Drosophila melanogaster: one gene and its partners. The protein of the gene in region 3 interacts with the protein of the main gene of each other region in a pairwise test. Each region holds a gene or a part of one and is shown on either strand. Other genes may lie near its edges. The genes, in order: MsR2, CG30427, Mabi and CdGAPr.

The links.
Region 1: the proteins of Mabi (region 3) and MsR2 interact in a two-hybrid assay, tested with the Drosophila melanogaster proteins (one large-scale study listed by BioGRID).
Region 2: the proteins of Mabi (region 3) and CG30427 interact in a two-hybrid assay, tested with the Drosophila melanogaster proteins (one large-scale study listed by BioGRID).
Region 4: the proteins of Mabi (region 3) and CdGAPr interact in a two-hybrid assay, tested with the Drosophila melanogaster proteins (one large-scale study listed by BioGRID).

The regions. Positions count from the first base shown.
Region 1 is NT_037436.4:2,280,018-2,286,330, reverse strand, and holds the start of MsR2 (myosuppressin receptor 2), read right to left. Parts: upstream 3,449-6,313; 5' UTR 3,083-3,448; intron 1-3,082.
Region 2 is NT_033778.4:24,933,702-24,939,963, forward strand, and holds the start of CG30427 (uncharacterized protein), read right to left. Parts: upstream 3,777-6,262; 5' UTR 3,603-3,776; intron 2,635-3,602; exon of another isoform or gene 2,528-2,634; intron 1,135-2,527; 5' UTR 1,131-1,134; coding exon 851-1,130; intron 783-850; coding exon 357-782; intron 1-356. Other genes in the region: CG3760 (uncharacterized protein), read left to right, coding at 4,760-4,972, 5,059-5,141, 5,255-5,516, 5,570-5,827; CG2811 (uncharacterized protein), read right to left, coding at 6,111-6,153, 6,205-6,262.
Region 3 is NT_033779.5:13,232,380-13,236,753, forward strand, and holds Mabi (mabiki), read right to left. Parts: upstream 2,282-4,374; 5' UTR 2,217-2,281; coding exon 1,596-2,216; 3' UTR 1,419-1,595; downstream 1-1,418. Other genes in the region: Prosalpha6T (proteasome alpha6 subunit, Testis-specific), read left to right, coding at 1-598; Jhbp14 (juvenile hormone binding protein 14), read left to right, coding at 4,256-4,361. UniProt on the Drosophila melanogaster protein: Plays a role in inducing apoptosis and is involved in the repair of head patterning defects in the embryo caused by extra maternal copies of the homeotic gene bicoid.
Region 4 is NT_033779.5:19,788,139-19,794,196, forward strand, and holds the start of CdGAPr (Cd GTPase activating protein-related), read right to left. Parts: upstream 3,745-6,058; 5' UTR 3,626-3,744; intron 3,204-3,625; 5' UTR 3,132-3,203; intron 1-3,131. Other genes in the region: CG10466 (uncharacterized protein), read left to right, coding at 4,089-4,313, 4,372-4,611; fs(2)ltoPP43 (female sterile (2) ltoPP43), read right to left, coding at 4,764-5,020, 5,086-5,264. UniProt on the Drosophila melanogaster protein: Probably functions as a GTPase-activating protein (GAP) for RAC1 and/or CDC42. Required for optic stalk formation.

The DNA of each region.
Region 1 (6,313 bases), on a different chromosome or scaffold from region 3:
TGCCTTAAATTCAATGCCAGTCATTGCCATTGTACAAAAACTGTAAATCACAGTAAAATCTGTAAATCTGTATTTTGGTAAGCTGTTGAGCACCTGAATGAAAGTCGACAGTAAGGACTTATCCACTAATGGTTCTTCCCTGTACTTTATCTACTGACGCTCGTAGTTTTCTCTTGTCTGGTGCTCATGCGATGCAACATCCTTTCCTTGTCAGATGCATTTAATTTAATTAAACAAGCTCCCCGAGGACCGAATAATTCACACCGACTTTTTGGTAGAACGCATCGGCATAAATAACATTTAAATGCAGTCATCATTTATGGCTGAGATTTGCAGCGCGCTGCGCTGACAGATGGCAAGATGATATGGCGCCTGATATGGCTTCCGCCCGACCATGCTGCGTATGCGTAATATTTGCCCAGATTTATGCAATGCTATTTTCCGACTGAGATAAAAGGCAAAAGCGCAGGGGAAGGAAGTGATATAAATACGAGATATGATTATGGACCGCTCATGCATGGCATATGCGAAAACTTTTGCGATTGCGATTATGATGGGGGCCTCTGGTTTTGACCTTGCATATATGTAGATACATATACATATACATACATACATATATGTAGAAGTATATACCCCGTCCAGCCCCGATTCTCTAGGCTCGGCGCTTGCCATGTGAATTATTGATCCATTCGAGGGTCTTCCAACATTTTCCTATTTTCTTTGGCATCACGTGCCTAGATAGCTGATGAATGGCCCGCATTCGGTCGTCTTATTTTTATCGGACTTCGGCAGAAATGCGACTCCCCAAAGAAATGAGCATAAATCTTTGGATCCGCTCTCATTTGAATTCAGTTATTTTTGCTCACAAACGAACCTAATGGGCGGACCGAAACTTTTGCAGGGCTTAAACTTTTAAACAGGCTGTAAAGTGTCCCCACTTCCTTCATAAAAAGAGCTAACAATTTGTGGCAGACACACATGCGGCTCAACTTTCCGACCTTGACGTCGCTTATTTGGCTTAAACAATGGAAATTATTATCCAACGATAATGGGAATTATGATTTTACGCTCTGGCGCCTGGGACTTAAAAGTCCGTGGACCATGTGGCGTATGCGTAATGCAGTAAAGCTAAATGACACTTACGTGCTGTAGGACAATTAAGGCAACTTGTTACCTTAATTTTTAATAATTTCCACTTACTTATAGTGTAGTATAATGTTTCTTAAGCAACATGCGAATGCTGGAGTCAGACAAACGAGTCCAAGAACATTAAGATACGATGTAATCCAGAACTTATTAATTGAAGGCCCGACAAACTAAATGTTTCTGCATTCTTTTGTGAGCTAAACTCCGGCAATTAATTTAAATGATACTCAAAACCAAGAACCCGCCGACTACGCAACCAAAGTTTGCCTTAACCGAAAGCCGCAGGCAATTGACTCGGCTTGGGTTTGATCCAGTGGCACGTGCTCCGTCTTGAGCCATCGTCCTGGCCTGGCCAAAACCGAACCACAATGGACAATTACTGTCTCATCTGGGCTGAGACACCGAATCCCGAACTCTGGCAGTGGCAGCTGGCATCCAAATTAATTAGCTGCCCAACTTAACCGAGACCGAAAAGTTCAGGTCTTCGCACAATGGACTCGATGGGATTTGGATTTGGAAAGAGTTTGGGATTGGGATCGAGATCAGGATTGAAGTGCATGGCAGCGACTCTTGACACTGGCGTTCCATGATGGGTATGCCAACTATTTGGTGCCGCAATTTACGGCCTTCTGCTTCGGCTAAATGTGTCAACAATTCGACTGGCAATTAAAGCCAGCGGGCAAGTGCATAAATTAGTTGGCATTATGGCCTCTCGACAGCTGCGAGAATTCCGCTGTCGCACATGCGACTAATTGCTTCGAGCTGTTAACCCTCTGCATGTCCATAAATTGAAAGTTTTATGCATTGTGTGTCCTATTGAGATGACTGGATGTTTTCGAAAGGTTTGCGCAGCCATTTCCTTGCGGGAAATTAGAAAACTTTGCGCTATCTGGACTGTTTGGTGATTTTTTGCTTGCTACTTTGCGACTGTGCAAATATTTTCGCAAGCCAACCTTTTGTCCATTGTTTGCCAGTGCCCCCCTTCTACTCTAGTTGACTTTTATTTATTGTGGCCATAAAAAAGCAGCAGGCATTGCGCAAAGTTGAAAGAAGCCCAAAAGGAATCTAGCACGAAATGCCAACAATTTTTGTATACATTTGTTTGAGGTTTACTTTAGGTTTGTTTCCCTCCACGGTTACTTGACTTTACCCATATTTTTCTTCGAAATTCAAATTTCATGCTCACAACACTTTTTACGACTTTCCCGCATTTGTACAAACAATGTTTGTTGTCCCATTCCCATTTCCGTTTTATTTGTTTATTTGTTCATTGACAAGATGCGAGCATCACATTTATTTAATGTTCGTTCGGCATGAGCCTTTGCAGGTTTTCCATCGGTTTTTCCAAAGTACTCCCCAGTTGCCAGTTGAGTCTGGCCCTTGGATTGCACTTTTGCGGACGCATTGATCATAAAAAGCCTTTAATATATTTCTTGCCGAAATAGAGCAGTAAAGTTCCCCGAAAGTGCAGATAGGTGGAAAGAAAGTTGTAAGAAAAATGTGTCATTTTGGTTGCATGTTGCAAAGTCCACATGCCTTCAATTAATTTCTTAAGTTTTCTACGATGGGAAGGGGTACGAATAATTTCGGAAATAGTTTTTATTGTGCGGAAAATATATAGAATCCGACATGAAATTTGAAATCAAAAAGTTGTTGCTTACAGAACAGAATTAAATTAAAAACAAAAGTTTCTATAATTCATAGCACCAAGTTCATAATTATATTTACCATATTCTGAATACCTTTGGGTTCTTTTTCAAGCAAAAATTCCTTTAATTAGGGCTTCAAAAGAGTTTACTAAACGATACAAATATCTGTTTAGCTGCAGGTTCACTTTACTCATTTAAAACGAATTTAGATTTCTATTAAGCATCCTTTCTTAATCATTTGGCCAGAATTTTCTTTGTTCTTCGTAACTTATAACTGGGCTACCTACATCAATCACTGGTACACACCACAATTTTCTGGGAATACAATTTTCAGGACATTAGGCACAGTGTCCCCATGGATGTTGTGGCCATTATGCTAATCAGATAAACCTTTTTTCGGCCATAAATGAAATATAAGTTGGGCGAAATGATACCAAATGCCAATAAACTGACCAAAAGTTCACTGACCAGCCGATGAAAATTCGTGACGGCAACTTACACAAATCGCAAAACTTATATTACGAAAAATTCAATTCAACGCGCTAAACCGAAAATAACAATTATTGCGATTTTTCATCTTATCGGCACATTTTCGACGTTTTCGAATTATATTTTCAGCCGGGAAAACTCCGAGACACGTGCGTACGGCACCGCAATGAAAAACCAACTGAAAAACTGCGAAAAACTCGAGCGGCAGCTGCTCGCTATTTTCTCCGAGCTCTCAGGAAATCGACGGTCGGCTTTTCCTGCGCGCCTGTCGAAAGTGTTGCCAGCTTTCTGGCGTCGACGCCGGCAGCGACAGCGTTGAATCAGCTGTTCGGAAAAGCCAGCGAAAGCCAGGGGAAAACGAGTTCCACCAGAAGCAACTGGTGTAGCTGGGCGGAAAACAGCTTCCACTTGCCATCCACAGACGGCAACAGCTGGACGACTTGTTGAAGTTGCAGAGTCTGTGCAAAACAGAGAACCGGAAAAACGAGTTTCCTTGAAAACAGAGAGAGAGAGAGAGAGTGTAAAATGTTTTCTTCTTTCCTTTGCAGAAGTTTGGCTTTTCCGTTTGCTTTTGCTGCTTTTGCAGTGGATCCCATTCGATTTGTTTTTATGAATGAAACGGTTTTCTATCGACTTTCAGCGCGCCAAAAATAAATTTAGCCAAAACCTTTTTGCTGGTCAAATTTATGGAGCTTCAGCCAGTCCATATGGCAGTTAACCCTTTTTTCGGACCCCTCGGCGTATGGGTAATAAATCATCAAATGAAATGATAAACTGCGACGACCACCTTCCCAACCCCTCGAATTTTCCCAGTTTTCCCAACTACAACGGCTTTTTAATAGAACCTGCTGCGAATGTGTTTAAAATCCCCTTCGAGTGCTCGTAAAACGTTCGTTTATCTTATTTCGGCTGGTATTTATTTACTTTTTATTCTATCTGGCGCATTTCCCAACTGCTTCATGTTAGATTTATGTGCGGATCTATTTGGCGAAATTTATGTTTGCATTTCAATTTACTTCCTCCATCTTACTCACTGTATTTTATTTTAAAGCATATGTTGATTAACGTCAGCAGTTTATGACATGGTTCTTCTAGAATTTCTGTGGGTTTTATCCAAACAGAATTGATTGTAAAAACAAGCCATGTGAGAAGTAATCACAGATTCTGATTTAAAACTTATTTTTTTCGCTTTTAGCTACAACTAAGTTCACTTCTTTAAAGAAGATATTAGGATGTATATTGAGAGAGAGTTTAAGTTTAAAATTTAAATCGCGCTTTCGTTTATATATTCCTGCCACGTTGGGTTTCAGTTTGAAAAGATTTCTGATTGACAAGCCCCCGAAGGCAGCATTAACTTTCCCAAAAAAAAAAGAAAACACAGATTTCCCTTTTCCAAATCATTCTTCAATTTATGTCACATTTCGCTCACGACTCCGACGTTTCCAGCCCAGGACTCACACGTCTCTTTTCCCGGGCCAAAAAAGTGGGCCAAAGGCGAGGATCTCAATTATTAGGGCCTAAGTGCCGTTAAAACCAAATCAATAATTTTCCTTTTTCCCATCTTGCATGGCCGGAGGAATGCGAAACGATGACAATGTGGAATGCCTGCACGGGGCGGGGATCCATTAGATATGCGAGTTCCCGCCCAGATCCTGCTCCTCCATCCTTAACCTTCTCCTGGTGCCCACATGCCCGCACATCCATGAATTTCCAAATGACATTCAATAAGCGTTCGATGTTCAATGTTCAATTATTTTTCAATTGCATCGATTTGCCGTCAAACCACAAAAGAACTTCGATTATCCTTCGGCCGAAAATGATAAATGTGTACAGGAAATAATAAATAGTTAAATAATCTTAAATATGATACCAAAATGTTAATATTGAAAAATATTTATTTAAATGAGTAAATGAAAAATGTCACATAATTCAAATTATATTTTATATTTATTAGTGCTATGAGTTATAAAACATAACTTTTCATAGCGAAACATCTACAATTCAATTATTTAAACAGGCTTAAATTAATAACAAACTATATAAGTATGCTTGAAAAACCCATAAGAAAATTCCCGTTTTTCCGCCTGAGCATGATTCTGCCATTGTTGTTGATTTTCCTGCCAGCACGTGACCCCTTGAAAATAAGCCTGGTCGGAAGTCGTTTGGCACCCATTTTTTGCCCACGCTTTGGCCATTTCCCATTACCCACTTCCCACTCCCCGCCCCCCGCCATACACACCGGGGGCGTGTCTCTAAACCAGTTAGCTACTTTGCATTAACGCTCGCCTCGGGAGCAGCGTTGAGTGGCCCAACTATATCCAATAGAATCCTATAGCACTCAAACGCCGCCCGTCCAGTCCGCTGTCTCTCCATCCAGATTCACATGAAGATGGTGATGGAGATGGATGCGGAGACAGAGATGGAGATGGAGATGCGTTGACGTGTTAGTGGAGCGAGGCTCGGGGAAATTCGTGGAAAATGGGTGAACAGGATGTGCTGACTTGACAGGGACATAGCCCGAAAAGCTTCCGCTGCTATGGCAGCCCAACCGCAGAACAGGATTTCGTTGCGGGCAGTTTTTTGGAACCCGTAGCGATAATCCTCTTGGTCCATATGGAAATGCATGAACGACAGACAGTGTGAGGGAACATACACTAGGAGAAATCAGGGAATAATATGCACTTACACTTTGTATTAGCTATTCGTTTACGTCCAATAAAAAAAACTTACTGAAAATATCAAAATATAAAAAGTGCTGTATCTACAGTTTTGTACAATTGACAGTGTATTTGTTTCAGTGCAGTGTTAAAGAAGATACAACATCACCTTGGGCAACACAAACTATCTGCTCGAAAGACTTTAAAGGCTCCTTGGAGGTGGCACAGCTGCCGGCGAAAGTTGTTGATATTTTGTTAACAGATTTATTTGCGCAATTGAACACGAAGTTCACGCTTTCATTTGCTTTCATTTTTCCACTAGAGCTCGATTCTCTGTCGATTTTCTCGCTTTTCGATTAACCGGAGAAGTGG
Region 2 (6,262 bases), on a different chromosome or scaffold from region 3:
ACTGCCAGCGCAGACAGATCGTACATTCCAGGCAGAGACGTCCAACAAAGACGCCAGGTGGCCGAAAAAGATATAAATAATAAGCAAGCCAGGGCAACATAGACACAGACACAGACATAGACATAGACTTAAGGCGGCAGAAGCGGAGGCGCATTATTAGGTATTAGTTAGAGGGGAACTGGCGACTGGCAATTGCAGACTCAATTTCGCTTCCAGCGCAGCTGGCTACCAAGCAAGCAAGCAATCCCGTCCAGAGACATAGAGAATTAACGACTCTGATAAATCGATTCGCCGCAGGCCAAAGCGACGCGGATAGGCAACAGCGAGGTGGCATCCGTACTTAAAAGGTCACTTACCGATGCTGGGACGTGCGATGATGACGGGCATGGACTCGTAGTGGTCGCGCACCAGAAGCTCCGCCAGACGCTTTGAGTAGGTGTATGTGTTGGGGTGCGGCTTTAGCAAATCCGGCGTAATGGCGTCCAGGGTCTTCACGTCCATCCACTCGGCCAGGCGCATAAGATCCTCCGGCTTGTGTGGAAACTCGTACACCTTCTCATACATCACATCCTGGTCGCAGTTGCAAAAAGCCGTGGACAAGTGGATGAAGGCCTCCAGCTGCTTCATTTCCTTGGCCACGTTGAGCGCTCGCCGGGTGCCTAGCAAGTTCATATCGATGGCGTCCCGAAGGTTGCCCTCCAGCTTAAGGGTGGCCGCCATGTGGAAAACAATGTTAGTGTTCTCGGTCACGTGCTTCAAGCTCTCCCCGCTGAGCCCGAGCTCTACAAATGAAGGGCAGGAAATGCAAATCAATCGAGATTAAAGTGCGGAACTTAAGCGCTACACTTACGGTCGAAGGTGACGTCGCCCTGGTAGATGGTAACCCTCTTGAGCATCTCCGGGCGCTCGTCCTTGATGCGCTGGAAGATGGGCAGCTTGAACATCTCCTCGAGACGCGTCTCGGGTGCCTTGCCGCGCTTCGGGCGGCAGATGATGATCACCTCCTTGAGGGAGTGGCAGGAGTAGAGCAACTTCTCCAGCAGAACCTTGCCCATGAACCCAGACGCTCCAGTGATGAATATCGTCTTATCCTTATAGTATTCCTGCACTGGCGATAGATCCACCGTCATCTTTCTGCAAGAAAGAGGTGTATTAGCACACCTTCTGGGAATGGGAATGGAAATGGAGTGACGCAAGAAGCATTCCGGGAATGCGAAAACCAGTCAAAGGAAAAACTAGTGATTGGCAAGCGAATGGCGCAAGTGGTGCTGGAAAAACTGGGGCTAATTCTGGCCACGCGTGCCCCTCTTACCACATCTGGTGTTCGACTTGGAAGCAGCCAACACACAGCAGCAACCAGTGAGCTGAACCTGCCGCAAACGGGTTTCTAGTGGACTTTCGGTTTCTATTTGGATTTTCGATTGCGCCTGTGGATTCGCATTTCTTTGCTGGCTTATGCAATTACCAGGGGTAGCTGGCATCGAACCCGTCTAGCGTGCCAGGTTGTCTTTATATCTCCCCCTCCGACGGGGATTGTTGCAAGTATTTGTTTCTCAATCTGCATGCGGCTGGGTTGGATTGCAGCCGCGTTACAGTTGGCCACATCTGCTCGGCAATCTCGAATTGTGGATTGTGCCTGTGCCTTGCACTTTGGGCATGTCATGACATTTCACGCAAGACCGAGCGGACGTACTTGTTTACCTATTTATTGCAGCTCGATTGTGGTCACACCCCGCCCAAGCGTATGCATGTCCAATACTGTATCTCCGGCAACGAGTGTTTACCTCCTCCAGCAGAGCAAAGCTGGAAAAGATGGAAATCGCAGGAAGCATGACGCAGCAGCCCCACTGCACCTTGAACTACAAGCTGAAATCTATGTGGTTGGATCTGTTTCTGGGATCACTTCACTTAGATCACTGCGGTTCTCCTTCATCTCGCCTCGCGGCACCTGCCTTTAGGGGCTTGTTACTGAGCCCCAGTTTTCGGCTTTATGGCCAATTAAAACGCGTCCGCCGAATGTGTGAAACCAACGAGAGCCACAGCCCGAGAAACAACTTCAGAGTGCTTGCACTTATGCAAGCCTCGAAATACACACATTGAGACAAATTTCGGTCGACCCAAGTTGTCAAACCCGAAGTTATGAGCATTACAGACAAACGTATTTATTAAAACTGAACCTAAAACAACGGAGCTTCATTTTGTAAACGAAAGACTTAGGCCACAAACTTGATCCCAATTGGGGCGGACGAGCGAGAAAGAGACGAGTCAGAAAACAGTAACTAATGCAAAATACTGATAGACAACTAAAATAACATAACATATTTGTGATTTCTAATGAAAGAACAATGTGTGCATAGTTTTAACAACGGAGCATCACGAAGATAATGGAATTCAAGAAATTTGTTTGAGATTTTACCATCTATGTATTTTGTTCATAAGCATATTGATGTAGCGGAACGACTTGCAAAAATTACGTCGAAATCGATAAATTCAAATCCGAAATGTTTTTATACCATTTTAAACTTACCCTCCCCACAATTGGCAAGAGTGTTTTTAAGCTCTTTGATATTACGCAAACGCAAATTGACCCTATTTGAAACGTCGATAAACGATAAAGAGTCTTTTATCTTATGATATTTGTTTCTCTCCTTCGTTTGTCATATTTTTATTAGAGCCAAAACCGGTATATCGTATATCGCTTGTAAGTAGAAACATTTTGGAATCTTTAATTAGCTTGTATGTGGTTGTGTTTATCGATTGTGTGTTCCTCTTGTTTACATATTGCTGCTTTTTAGCCTAAGTAATATTGTGTGGTTACAACTCGATTGCGACCTCAGAACTGGCTACCGATGATGGGGCCATTAAAATTTTCCAATGCAAAGTGCAGCCTGCAATCGGTCTGCAGTTAATAAACCCATTGGAGCGCAGTGACTGATTGACTGACTGCGCTGTACCAATGACCCCTTTTCTAAGGCAACGTAAGCTCGAATACGGAGAAGAGCTGCGGATGTGGCTGTGTGGAGGATCATTAAGAAAGCCACTTGAGGCTGAGACATTAAACCATGAAATCGAACAAATTTTAAATGTTTGGCAATTCTTCCATTCCATTTCCCATTTGGCCTTTGCTCACGTAGTCTCACGATATATTTAAATAAAAATCCCCCTCAATATGTAAATGGCTTTTGTATTGGATCAGCATTGATACAAATGAGATGAAACCCCGACACATAAAATTAGCAGCAAGCCGCAAGCCGAGGTTCAAATATATGCAAAGGGCCACGGAACTCAAAGCGGAAAATGTGGAATATCGAAATATCAGACTTTGCGACAGGTCATGACACGACCCTGACATAGACGGGGGTTCACGAGCGTATCTCGAAATCAAACTCAGTAGGGCAGAGGGGCCTACCTTTGTAATCGTCAATTAAACGCTTCGCTGGGCTGGCAAATGCCTCGAATTGCAGCCTAATAGCCCCGAAAAATAAGCAGCATTGTCTTTACAATGCGGTAATCACAAGGAGGAATCGCAGCTCGAGATGAGGTCGGCGGAGTGCTAGATTGCAAGCCGAAACTATTTTGGGGCTACTAAGTGTTTCAATTACCTTGAGTATTGCTTGGTATTCTCCTCAATTAAAACACTTGCAATATTGGTATCAAACTCTCGCACACGCGAATTAATGCGAGACTATATCGGTTCGGAGCGTACTAGTTCGGATCGAATCGAGTAGTGGAGGGAGCGGTGTGGACGCTGCGAAGCTCGAAAGAAGACTGAACGCGACCAGCCCGGTGGTTGTCAATATGAATACGTTGTGGAGTGGACTAGCAGTGCTTTGGGATGTTGCAAACCATGCCGAAACGAAGCAAAACCACTGGCCTGGCTGCACGCCGTACTGTGGTAGGTATTCGGCAGGTGTTGGTACAGACATAAATATCTATTAGCTCGGCTAATCTAGGCGGAACTGGCCGTCTGGCCTAAGAGGCTTAGGCTGGGTCCAAGTGATGGGCCAAGTAGTTGACTTTTGACTACATGGGCGGGACTGCTGGGTACCACAAGATGCAAGTCCCAGGCCCAGGAACTCTTTGGCATATTTTGGGAAACATTAACTTTGCCATTTGGACGAGTTTTATTGACTTTGCTGCTTTTCAGCGAATAAGATATATTGGCATCATTATGGATGCAAAATTAGCAACGGATCGAATTGGTTTCCATTACACAATGGTCCAGCTTTGCATTCGCAGCCACCGCGGCGGTGGTTTCCACTTTGTTTGCCTTAATTAGGTGGTTATCAATCTCCTATGCAAATCTATTGTTGCCCAATGTCGCGAATATTGGTAATTAGTGCAGTCTTTCCTGTGATTTTTGCACACGCTAAATTATGCATGTTACCAATTTTGTTGCAAAAAAATAATATGTTTGTGTCTTCCAGTCCCAACTGATGGTTTCAAAAAGGCCGCCAAAGTTGAAAATATCGATATCATGCAGATGATATATGGATACTTGTCCTGCTAAGGTAGTGCTGTCAGAGTTGCTTAAACTGATTAGTTATAATAAACCATCAGTTAATTCCAGGTATGAAAAAAAGCGTGCATTATGTAAATTGCATAGTGAAATTAAATCGACAATTTGTAATCTCGCTGCGAATTTCCAGGAATCTCCAGCCCTGGCCGGCTTATCGATACATCTGGCACAAAAGGCGTGCAGAGTTGTTCTCCAAATTTCCTGTCGCGAATTTTATTCATTTATAATTAATTACAAGCCATGGCCGAACTGGACGATTTCTTCGCGAAAAAGGACAAGAAGAAGTCCAAGAACAAGACTAAGTTCGTGACCGCCGACGAGATGGTGAAGAACCTGGAGGACGGCACCAAGCGCGAGGTGGTCAAGCCCAAAAAACCTGAGGTAGCCGCTGGCGGCGTGGCAGTAGTAGGCGAAAACGAGAATAGCGGCACCAAGGTGCCAGAGTCCGCCCCGGTGAGTCCGAATCTCAGTCTGGTGAAATCAGCGCCCGTTGGCCACCTAGGGCATGTTTATAAGTTCATTGTTTTGCCGCTCCGTAGCCCGTCGAGGAGGAATGGAAGGAGTTCGAGGAGGAGCAGCGCAAGGACTACAGTGGCTTAAAGATCGGCCAGCTGAGCACCATGTGAGTTTTCGAACGTTACGCCGACCGCCTAATCCATGAGCAGGAGAAAAGGCCACTTCCATTGATTTACTTTCCATTTGACCCCGCATATTGCGAAAACTCGCTTTCTATAGCTCTTCGGCCCGTTCCAGAACTGCCCAGGAAAGTTCCGAGTCGCAAGCTGCTCGAGTGCCCTCTGCCCCGGACGGCGGCAACTACAATGAGGACGATGAGGACAGCAATGGGTATGACAACGCGGACGTAAACAAGGAGCGCGTCGGCCACGGACCCTGGAAGAAAGTTGTCCCAGCCGAGGAGGTAATGCAGATTCCGGTGCCCGTGGAGGTGGAAAAGCACTCGTCCAAGACCTACGTTTCACCCGCGCTACGATACAGCGTAAGTAAGAAGAGCGAGACGATCCAGATCGAGTTTAATCAACTTCTCTGCAGCAGCAGGCCGGAAGTGGACTGGGAGGCGGCCCTACTGGGGGGGCATTGCGTCCACGACGCGCCGCCCCCGACATCACCAATACCGAGTTTTTCCCAACCTTAAGTGCGGCGCGTCCGGAGGAACAGCGCAAGAAGAAAAACGAACCCGCCTTCGAAGAAGTCCGTCACGGAAGCCGTTTCCAGCGTGTTCAGGAGTCCACGGCTGCCCCGGTGGCGGCCTCCAACCGATTCCAGTCGCTTGACGACGAAGCAAGCTAGGTCAGCCCACGCCAACGGTGCTGTTGCTGGCCACTTGAACCGCTATCTACCACAGTGTCCGCTGCCGAGCTCAAGCCATCCAAAGGTTCTATGCCAGCACATGCAGATTTTCTAGGCTTTTTGATTCATATAAACCACCACTGCTACTCTTACCCTAAACCACAAACTACTATTGTTCATTTCGTTTTGCATTTTGAAAAATGGATTAATGTAATACAATACGAATAATACCCATGCGTTGAAATCCGTTTATAAACGTTACTTTTTTATACGTTTCCGTTTCTCACTTTTCCATGGCGAGGTCTTCCGGGCAGCTGTCCAAGTAGCTGCAAAATCAGTAAGAAAGATCATCTCTGGCTGAAACAGTGCGTACTGACTTTTCATTGTACGGCCTCTCCGGCGTGTTGTGGTACGAGATCAGCAGCTCCTTGGCCA
Region 3 (4,374 bases):
GTGCATGGCATATCGGCACTCCTATAACGCAGAATTTCCGGTTCGCCGTTTGGTTTCCAATCTGGGTAACAAGCTGCAGACCACCACCCAGCGCTATGATCGTCGTCCCTACGGTGTGGGCTTGCTGGTGGCTGGATACGATGAGCAGGGACCACATATCTACCAGGTGATGCCCACGGCCAATGTGCTCAACTGCAAGGCAATGGCCATTGGATCTCGTTCGCAGAGTGCTCGCACATATCTGGAGCGAAATATGGAGAGTTTCGAGGACTGCGACATGGATGAACTGATATGTCATGCCATTCAGGCCATTCGAGGATCGTTGGGTTCCGATGATGTCGAGAATCTCACCATAAATGTGGCCATTGTGGGCAAGGATGTGCCGTTTAAAATGTTTACGGAAGCCGAGAACCAGAAGTATGTGAAATTGGTCAAGGCTATGGATCCACCTCTGGAGGCGGACCACGATCCTCTATCCGAGGAGGGAATGAGCGATGATGACATGACGGACCACGGACCGAGTAGCAGTGGAGTTCCACCCAATGATACATCTGACATGGAAACCACTGCATCCACCGGCGGCAGTGACGCACATTGATCTAATCTGTGATTAGAAACCCTGACAGAGTATACTAAATTTATTGTTTCGTTAATAATGTTATTAAAGTTTATAGTTATTATGTTGTATGGCTGCTTCGTTTTTGTCAAAGAAAAAAACAAGAAACGGTTAGCAAGGAAATTGAATTCTGAATTAGTTTTAATAGCATGTATAGCATATATATTCATCTTATGGAACCTAATCGGATTAAAATAATGGAAACACTATAGCACTTGCCATTCCTATTAATACGTTGAAATTTTCCACAGGGATTAGGGGTTATGCAAATGAAAGCCTTTAGCGTGACCAATTCGATTACAATGTATTTGAAAATATCGTAGCTACTAATAGCTAAAGTGTTTAGTTTAACTTTAAGTGCGACAATGACAGCTGAGCGATGGACGGGAATAGGAGTAGTTATTATTTAAGCCCACATTCCCGTAGCTGCGGTTTCAATCGGTTTACGGCTCTATTGCCAGTGGTTTGACCAGGGTGCAGGGTTAATACCCAGTGAACTTTATCCGACTGGCTTGATATTCTCCATGGGGGGAGGCAATAGTCGATGGGGTCACCAATAACGATTTGCTCCAGGGGCTGATGATTGCCTGTGACACCACGCGAACTACCCCTGGGGATTAATTGGGATTTATTTCGATGGCTCCACGCTTTATTATATTTTATTAAATTTATTTATATATATTTTTAATATATTCATTGCTTCATTAGCGCTTGATTACTTTTTCTGCCAATGTCATAAATTAATATTTATACCATTTTTAGAAGGAAGATTAAAAGTCAAGCACACGATAAAAAATCAATTAGCCGTAAAAATTAAATCCTCATATTTTATTTATTAAGAAGTTCCTGCTTAACCTTTTAAGGCATTTATACTAAATATATACTAAATTTCTTAGCACTAAAAGTTCTTGAAGAAACTTAACAACTTAGCATTAATATAATAACTATATAATACAATCCTAAAAGGAGATGGACGTATCTAAGCATGCTCCTGTTTAATACCACCTATCAGGTAGTCGATGCTAAAGTTACTCTTGGTATTCTCCTCCGGAACTCTCCTTGAGGATACTAGCGGGTGGTCTTCCTGCTTGACCAGCTGCTTCAGATGATTCAAATAGACCCTGGCACGCAGACTCTGTTCGGCGATCTTGAGGTGCTCATCGGAGCACTCCTTGTACTGCTGTTCGATCTGCAGGTCATCGAACTTCTTCTTCCGTCGACTCATCCTGCAGGCAATTGTGTTCTTGTTGCGGCGCTCCTGATCCTTCGGTGAACGCTCCTTCTTCGGGAATTTTCGCACCATATTGACGTGGTACTTGAAGATGTCTTGGATGGCCTCGGTTATGATGGGGCTGGCGGATTGGTAGGAAACGCTTGAGGATGAGGATCCCAAACGACGACGCTTTGGCAGTGGAGGAAAGTCAGCATCCTGATCACTGAAACCCAAGCTGACGGACTGATTTGCCGCATCGAAAGGACTCCGACTGGTGCAGGGTGTGCCGCTCCGGGAGATTAGCTCTTCCTTCAGCTGCAAATCGCATTTCTCAATCTTTCGACCCATGTCGAACTTTTTGTGGCGATAGATCTGATGGTGCTCCATTGTATGGTATGATATGCTATGGTTATGCTATGTGTGTTCTACTCGAAGACTCTCGATTGAATGCTGTCCTGTGGATTGGTACACTAGCTTATATGGCGAAAGCCTTATCTGCCGCTCTTCGTAATCCCCCCACAACTTTTATAACTTTGTTTACACAAATCGACGACGAATTTTCTTTTTGCAAAACGAAAACAAGATCATAAACCCGCTCGATTTGCCTGCGCACGCGTACATGCCACCCAATCCCATACCCAAACCCAAACCCAAAACCCAACCCATCCCACTTACCTACTTGTAAGCCCACCCGTTGGGCATCCCTATCTACTGGTCATGTTTATTCTTGCGTGCGTTCAGCTGGGATCTTTTGAATTTCAGATACAATACAATCCGAGTTTTTCCGGATCAGTAGGTGGCGAAATGCGCGCCCATCGATTGTCTGGGTTCATTCAATTCGTGTTTGTTCCTCTTTCAAATCTATTATCTGCTGTGTTTTTCAATGTCGCCGCCTTTTGTAAAAGTCATATATATATATACATATATGGATTTTGGGCTACTCTTGTTCAATTGGCCTCTATTCGAAAAGTGTTTTGCGGCCTCATTTGTCCAACTCCCTTTGTATCCTGCTGTTGATAAGGTGTGTGTGGCACTGATCTTTTGTTTTCCGTTTGTTTCCCTTTTTTTAGATATCACTTCTTGGAACTCGGAGTGCCATTTCTGGGTTTGCAGTTTAATGCCGAAGATGACGATAAGATGACGTCTATTTGGGGTTGCAAAAGGGCACATTCCTGTAGACAGTCTGCGTCTGCTGATAACGTGCGTTTATCTCTTTTGTGCCAGGTCACTTGATAAATCGTTGTAAACTCAGCGCATCTTAAAACGATCCTAAAAAAAAAAGTATTCGAAAATTGGCCTGCGTAAAATAACCTACTTATTTGTTTGTTAAGAACTGAGGTTTTCCGAATTAGTATAAAGATTTGTTGTACGCGTATGACTCATTTCCAACCTTTTAAGCTTTGACAAAATCGACGTACGTTGCCTACTAGACACACGTGACTAAATAATCACTAATCAAGCACTTTAAAAATTGCCGTAAGGTGCAAAAAGCAGAATTAGCATTAGAGCTGTTAGCACGGCCACGCTTGACACCAATTGTTTGATTTATACTTTCATTACTACTTACTAGTAGAAACAGAAATAGGCAGTAAAAGGTTCTGCCTTTTCATTTTGAGGGTATACACAGATGTATATTTTACTAGGCCACAAAATTGCAGTAAGTTAAATAAAGCCTCAGTTAAATGCATTAGCATTAGCATGGAAGTACAGGAAGAATAGTTTCAAGCTCTAAAAATTGAAACAGTGATCTTAAGCCCAAGTCCCCGAGACATTTAATAAGGTGGTACGTTTTAATTAGCCGCCTGGGACCAAGATCTCCAGCACCATCTCCATCACCAAGTCGAGGAAGCATCCAAAGCGAGTCGGATCACTTGGGACAGCTGCCGGTAGTTGGTAGGCGGTTATGTGATGAGTATGTCGGGTCGCACTGGGGTCGCGATAAGTCAAATCGGATGGCTGGGTGGCTTCCACTTCACGACTTTACGGGGGAATTTAATAATGTCGTTTGTATTTCGCTACTGTCTACTGTCTACTGTCTATTGACTTTTGCATTTGCTTTGTTTTCTACAGCTGCGACGGCGATTAGTTTCAAGCTATTTTTGTTATCCACCCACCACCCACCGCCCACCGCTCCGCCCACAAATCCCTATTATTTGCTAATGCCGAGCATCTGTGTTTGTGCCTTTTTTTATTTTTTTTATTTTACGTTTGTCTTTGCAATTTCGATTTGATTGGATTTGTTTTGTTTTCTTCCCATAAATAAGAGCCCGCCACCCATCGCAGCTCTCAGACGTTGATTCGCATTTGCATCGGTCAGGTTGGGCTATCCAACGGATGTGGAATAACTTCACCTAACGAGGAAGTCAATTAAAAAAAACATCATTCAATCTAAACGTATCAAATTAAATATTAAACAATCTATCGAAATGGGTCGTATCTTTGGCGTAGTTGCTCTAATTCTGATGGCCGGCTTATGTTTGGCAGCGGAAATAGAATTGCCACCAGTTGAGTTCAAGCCGGTTCGAGAAATACGTGAGTGTCATTA
Region 4 (6,058 bases), 6.6 Mb from region 3:
GGAATCGGTTATTGAACACATTTCGTAATCTATATTTAAACTATGAAATCATCGAACTCAATATATGCACAGTAAATGTCAATAAAAGATAGAGCATCTATATTTATTTGCCTTCGACACTCTTGGGCTATGATTTCCTATAATGTAACTCTTCTTTCAAACGTATTGAATAGAACGAATTCTTAGCGCATTTCACATTCGACGCAGCTCATCGGGCAAACAGAGGGCACTACTTTTGAGGCATTTTGATGGTTTTTGTTTCATATGACTTGGCACTAACAACCATAACAGCAGCAGCAACAACAACAAAGCCCCCAGCGACTTGTCAGTTTTAATTGAAATCAATTGAGCTCAATTATTTGATACGCATATGAAACACAACATCAGCGGCCATCACAACAACAGCCGCAAGAGCCGCCAACCCAAAAATTCTTATACGCCGTGTGGGTTCGGCATTTCCCCCTGCTTGCACTTCAATAACCACGAGATAGTTGGCGAGGCTGGGGGCATGTCAGTCGCCAAATATGGAGCGTTTATGAAGAATTCTTTACATGAATGTAAACAAAAACAAAATGCGAATATAAAACGCGACGGCGTCGGCTCGAACAGGTGTAAACAGCAATAAGACACAGGGCGAAATGTGTAGAACAGCGAATTTTCTGTTGGCAGTTTCGCTGCAATGTTTTTTTTGTGCCTGCTATTGTAGACTGTTTACATTGGCCAGCAAAACAGTGGTTGGTAATCAGTAATCAGTGATAACGGCTGCAATTTAGTACTATTAGTAATCCATAGGTATGAAAAGTCTTGCATGAACTGGACCGAACTCCAAATGTTAGTTAGTTCTCGGTAGCAATACTGTGCAAGCCAGTGTAATTCTTATCCCTACGCTGCCTGAAGAGGGGAATGCGAAATTCCTTCTGTGGTACTAGTGCAAAAGTAAGTAGTCCAGGAACCAAGGCGTTGCAGCCCAGTGTAGCCCCCCAGTACGCCCAGATGTTTGGTGTCACCCGGTTGAAGGGTACTCCCTTCCCGGATGGGAAAGGGTTTTGCTGGCGGGATTGGGTATGGGAATCTGCCGCATCTGTGGGCAGTGGTGTAATGAGCTGGTCGCCGGCGAGGTAAACGTTCCCCATTGGAAGCGGTGTGAGCTAGCCGTCCGTTTGAGCGGATGTTTGAGTTGAGTGCACAGCTACCGAGGCGCAACGAAATTAATCGAACTCGAAATCGGGAGCTGGCGGGGAAGCAGCTTGCTCGCTTGGTTATGCTGCTGCACATATAGTACCCCTGTATATAATACATATATATGTATGTATGTTCGTGTATATAGACGTAGAGTAGATGTATCTGGCCAACTTGACACGTTTCTGCAACAGGCGGCCGCAGCGCAGTCAACTTTGCTCTCGTCACTCGAAATGTGCCATAATCGTGCGCAGTCGCGGCGCGAATCTTTCCCAGAGACGTGAGCCACATAATAACCGCAGTAGGAGCCCCACACGAGTGTACATATGTACATAAAGTATAGTAGCACATATCTGTACGTATCTCGTAATAATAGCGAGAAAGCTGCCCGCACCCAGCCCCCGCATTTAACGGCCAAAATGAGTCAACATGCGCCCAAAATGTTCTCATAGAACAGTGGGGAGAAGTTTGCTGATGCGGAGGGATAGGCAATGGGTTCTCTTTTTAAGCCATTTTCCACATCACACATCACTTCGCATAAATACCCATTGGGAATGAACGAGAACTAGGAAGGTACATATGAAGATAGTTCAGATAATATTTAGACAGCTTTAATTATATTCATTATAGAACTATGAAGAACATAAATCAACTATAATTCAGGGTCTCTACGAACGCAACTAAAGTTTACACACTGCAGCTCAGTAGAGTAGAAAAGTGAAATGAAGTACCACCTATCAATTAACAATCAGTCTACGCCAAATAGTATTTGTTAATTGATTTTTCCGCCTCCTTAACACCTTTTCGTTAATCGCACACTTCGCTCCTTTCACAAAACTCTTGGCTTTACTCGCAGAAGGGTATGAAGGAAAGCAAGTGAAAGGCCAGGAGTTGGCTTTTTGGGAAAGTAACAGAGCGGACCAAAAGTATCAGTTGCTTGGCAGAGTGGGTGGGGTAGGTTGGTTTTGGGGCACGAGGAGCTGGAGAAGCAGGAGCAGCCGGACGGAGCGAGTTCAATGTCAACTGTGTGGGCAGCGCCACGAAAACTTTTTTACGAGCGCTTCCGCTTGAAGAAACACACACAACTGGATGTGTGTAAGCCCGCAAGTAAAGCACGACCACACCTAAACATTAAAAACCAGCGATGGAAGTACATGTTTCCTCCTTTCGGCGTGGACAAAAACAAAGAGACACAAGCGACCATACAGCGGGGGTCAACTCTTTAAAGTCGTGTTGAGATTTTTTTAAGATCATGTGTAATCTTAGGTTTTAGGTCAATGGCTTGTAAACTACACTTTATGTGACTTAATTAGCGTTTAGTGTTTCTCACAATTTAAGTCTTGCTGTGCGTAATACCCGAGGATTGAAAACAAAAGGTTAAGGAATGTAGTTATCCCAAAGGGTTGATTGCGATGAGTCAAATGACAGCAGCTGGCATGAGTTGCTCTATAGCTATTACTATTAAATTCCAGAATAGGAGCATATAAGAAATACAAAAGTTTCAAAGTGAACAACATAAACCAAGTTCTAGTCACGGTCAAGTGAGGAACTCTATTTATAGTTATAGGGTTTCAAAATGCACGTTTCCTTATCTGGGTTTTTGGGGTTGAAGTTGCAGGACAAAAGACGGCAGCTTTGGAGGAATGCTTTTGTCCGCTCTTCCTCTTCCTCGCTTACCAAGGACTCCATAAAGACGGCAGATACCGGAGGCCCATTACTATTATTTTGACTGCAGCTGTACGAAAGAGAGGCATTGCCAATGGGGTGGAATGTGCATGTGAGTGTGAATGTGTTAAGGAAAAGCAGCAGCAGACAGACAGACAGACAGACACACAGACGAATGGACATATGGTGGAGTTGTCCCAGGTGAGAGTGTGTGTGTGAGTGTGGCTGCCACAGGGTGACAAAGTCTAGTGTGAAACGGACATATCGCACTTATGTCTTTTACATACCAACTGTTCCAATAGCAAGGCGCAGGCATAGTTACGTGCGCGAGACAGAGAGGGAAACACACACTCAGCTTCCTTCGCAAAAAATAATATGGGAGAGCGAAAAAAAATAACAGAAAAGACGGGGCGTTATTCGCTGTTATTCGGCACAGAACGCGTCTCGAACGATGATGGGAAAATGGTAAAACAATGGCTTTGGCACAATTAAAAGACCTCAAAGACGCCAAACGGTTATTCGTTTATGTTTTCATCTCTTCCTCTCCCTCACCAATCAGCAGTCGCAGTCGCGGCAGCTATTATTTATTATTTTCGTTGCTGCCGCACAATACACTGACACACATTTTTAAATAGAGAGGAGATACTTTTCAGCATATCTTTTTCCTTTGGCACGCACACGAGCATGCAGACACACGCACACGCAAGGGCATACCGCACACACACACACGTACGCTAGCAGACGGCGGGTGTGTAAGCCCAATTTTCGCATTCGTACACACCTTTTCTCGAATAGATCACCGTGGCAATGGCAATATTACAACATTTCTCACTGTCCGTCCCAGTGCACAATTAACTGGCTTCCGATCCGCAGCCTTTTACAACGCGACAACAAATGTGACGATAACGATTAAAATACCACCGGCCTTATTATAACGCACTATTTAATACCACTGCACATACAAGAAATACCAAATACAAATACCTAGCAATTAAAAACTACTTTGGTATTTAAATTAGTTGGAAATTAAATAAGTATGCTACATATTAATTATATTAGCCTTTTAGTTTTAGGAAACTCTATGAGTTAAAGAAAGTATCCAATTATCGATATATTGCCTGAAATACTACCTACACTGCTTGCTTGCTATGTTAATACAGTTCAAAACAGACCGATGGTATTTTCTACCTAACAGCAAGCAGTCACATCGCCACAAAAACATAAACAAATAAAACGATTTGAAGATGAATCCGCTAACAAATATGAAAAATGTGCTCAAACTGAGCGAACACGAACTGCAACATGGCGGAAAGAAGAGCTGGCACGACATGTACAAGGACTCAGCCTGGATTTTCGTCGCAGGATTTCCGTATACCCTAACTGAGGGCGACTTGGTTTGCGTATTCTCGCAGTACGGCGAAGTGGTCAACATCAATCTAATTCGAGATTCAAAAACGGGAAAGTCCAAGGTAATGCTTAGTTACCCTTTCAAGAAAGTTCCTGAAATCATTGTTTAAACTTGTCCAGGGCTTCTGCTTCCTGTGCTACGAGGACCAGAGATCCACAGTGCTGGCCGTGGACAACCTGAATGGCATCAAGATCCTCGATAGGACACTAAGGGTCGATCACGTGGCCGACTACAAGCCTCCCAAGGAAAACGAGAAGATGGACGAGGAAACCCTTCGCCTTTACATGGAGGGCTGTGCGCCGAAACCTCAACTTCAGCACATCAAGACTGAGAAGAAAGACAGCAAAAATTATAGATGATAAGATAAGGTTAGCTTAAACATAGCAAAGCATGCAAACAGAATTTTTATATTAACTTAAATTTTTTAGTTATTAAACGCTAAATTATACTACTACATTCTTTTTTAAAGCCAGTAATTTAAGGTGCAAGAATGAATTGGCTTTCCAACCTCTCATTCGCCATCAGCGCTCGCAAAGGAGTCGTCATCATCATCATCATCCTCATCCTCTTCTTCCTGACCCTCCAGTTCCTTCAGAATCCTTCGCTTGTAGCGCTCATAGGCGCTGCCCCTCTCCCGGTCGACATTGTAAAAGTCCACGTCGTCCACAAACGAGTCTTCCTCAGTGTCGATCGTGTGCACGTAGGGATCGCGAAAGGTGGCATAGTCATCATCATCGCTGGTGCTGGCAAACTCATCCTCGTCATCATCTGGAAGAAGAAGCATATGCATATTCATAAGCGGAATCTATGCAAACAGTTAACACAGATCTTACCGAGCATAAACTTGTTCATTTGCCGGCACAACTCATCATCCGAACCCATGGCGCCCGCTTCGTCGTCGTCCGGGTAATCATTGGTAAAGTAGTTCTCCTGGTTCGAGTCCTCCGAGTCGTAGTCCTCGTCCTGGTCGTTGTAGCAATCTTCTAGGACAATCTCGCCCACAGGAATCACACTGCAGAATAGGCGAAACAATTAGTGAGTTTATTTCGATTCTTTGATCACGCAGCATTTTTAAATTGAAACACAACAAAGTTTGTCACGTATTTTGAGAGTTTCTTTATTTAGTTTATATTCGATTTCGGGCAACGCTAGGCCCCAACAGATATAAAGCAAAACAAACTAAGACTATGCACTTAATTAGACTTCAGCACTAGTGTTATCCGTTTTTTTTTGTTTATTGTCGGAATGGAAAAAGAACCAAAAAGGCAACTGACAACTGGCGGAAACTAAACGAAAAATGCTCGGTGAGCTGTTTTTCAAAAAAATGCGGTGTGTGTGTGTTCGTGTGTGGGGGTAAATTATTCTAATCTAATAGCTAATTAATTCTATGAACATAAGGTAATGAGAGACATTTGCCTAAAACGATTCCAAATAGTACACTAATTGTGCGTTTTTAGCAGGATACATCTTATTTTTATTAAAAACTTTGGCAAGAGGGAACTTTATGGGAACTTTACATAACTATGATACATTATTTAAACTAAGAAGTTTAGATCTAACATATTTTTTAAATGGAATATGGCATAACATAGTTGTGTTAGAATTGAACGAAATCTCACAGTAACAAATCAAATAAATAGCTTCCAGAATCATTCGTTTTCAGATCATGCCGTGTTTACTCATAAAAACAATGTTTTATCGTTAGTTTTGGGCATTTGTCAAATGTGCTGACTGCAATGAACTGTAAGTGATGTGAGTTGCCAGTTGCAGTCCTTTTTTTTATTGTCGTGGGTGGGGCATTGGGTG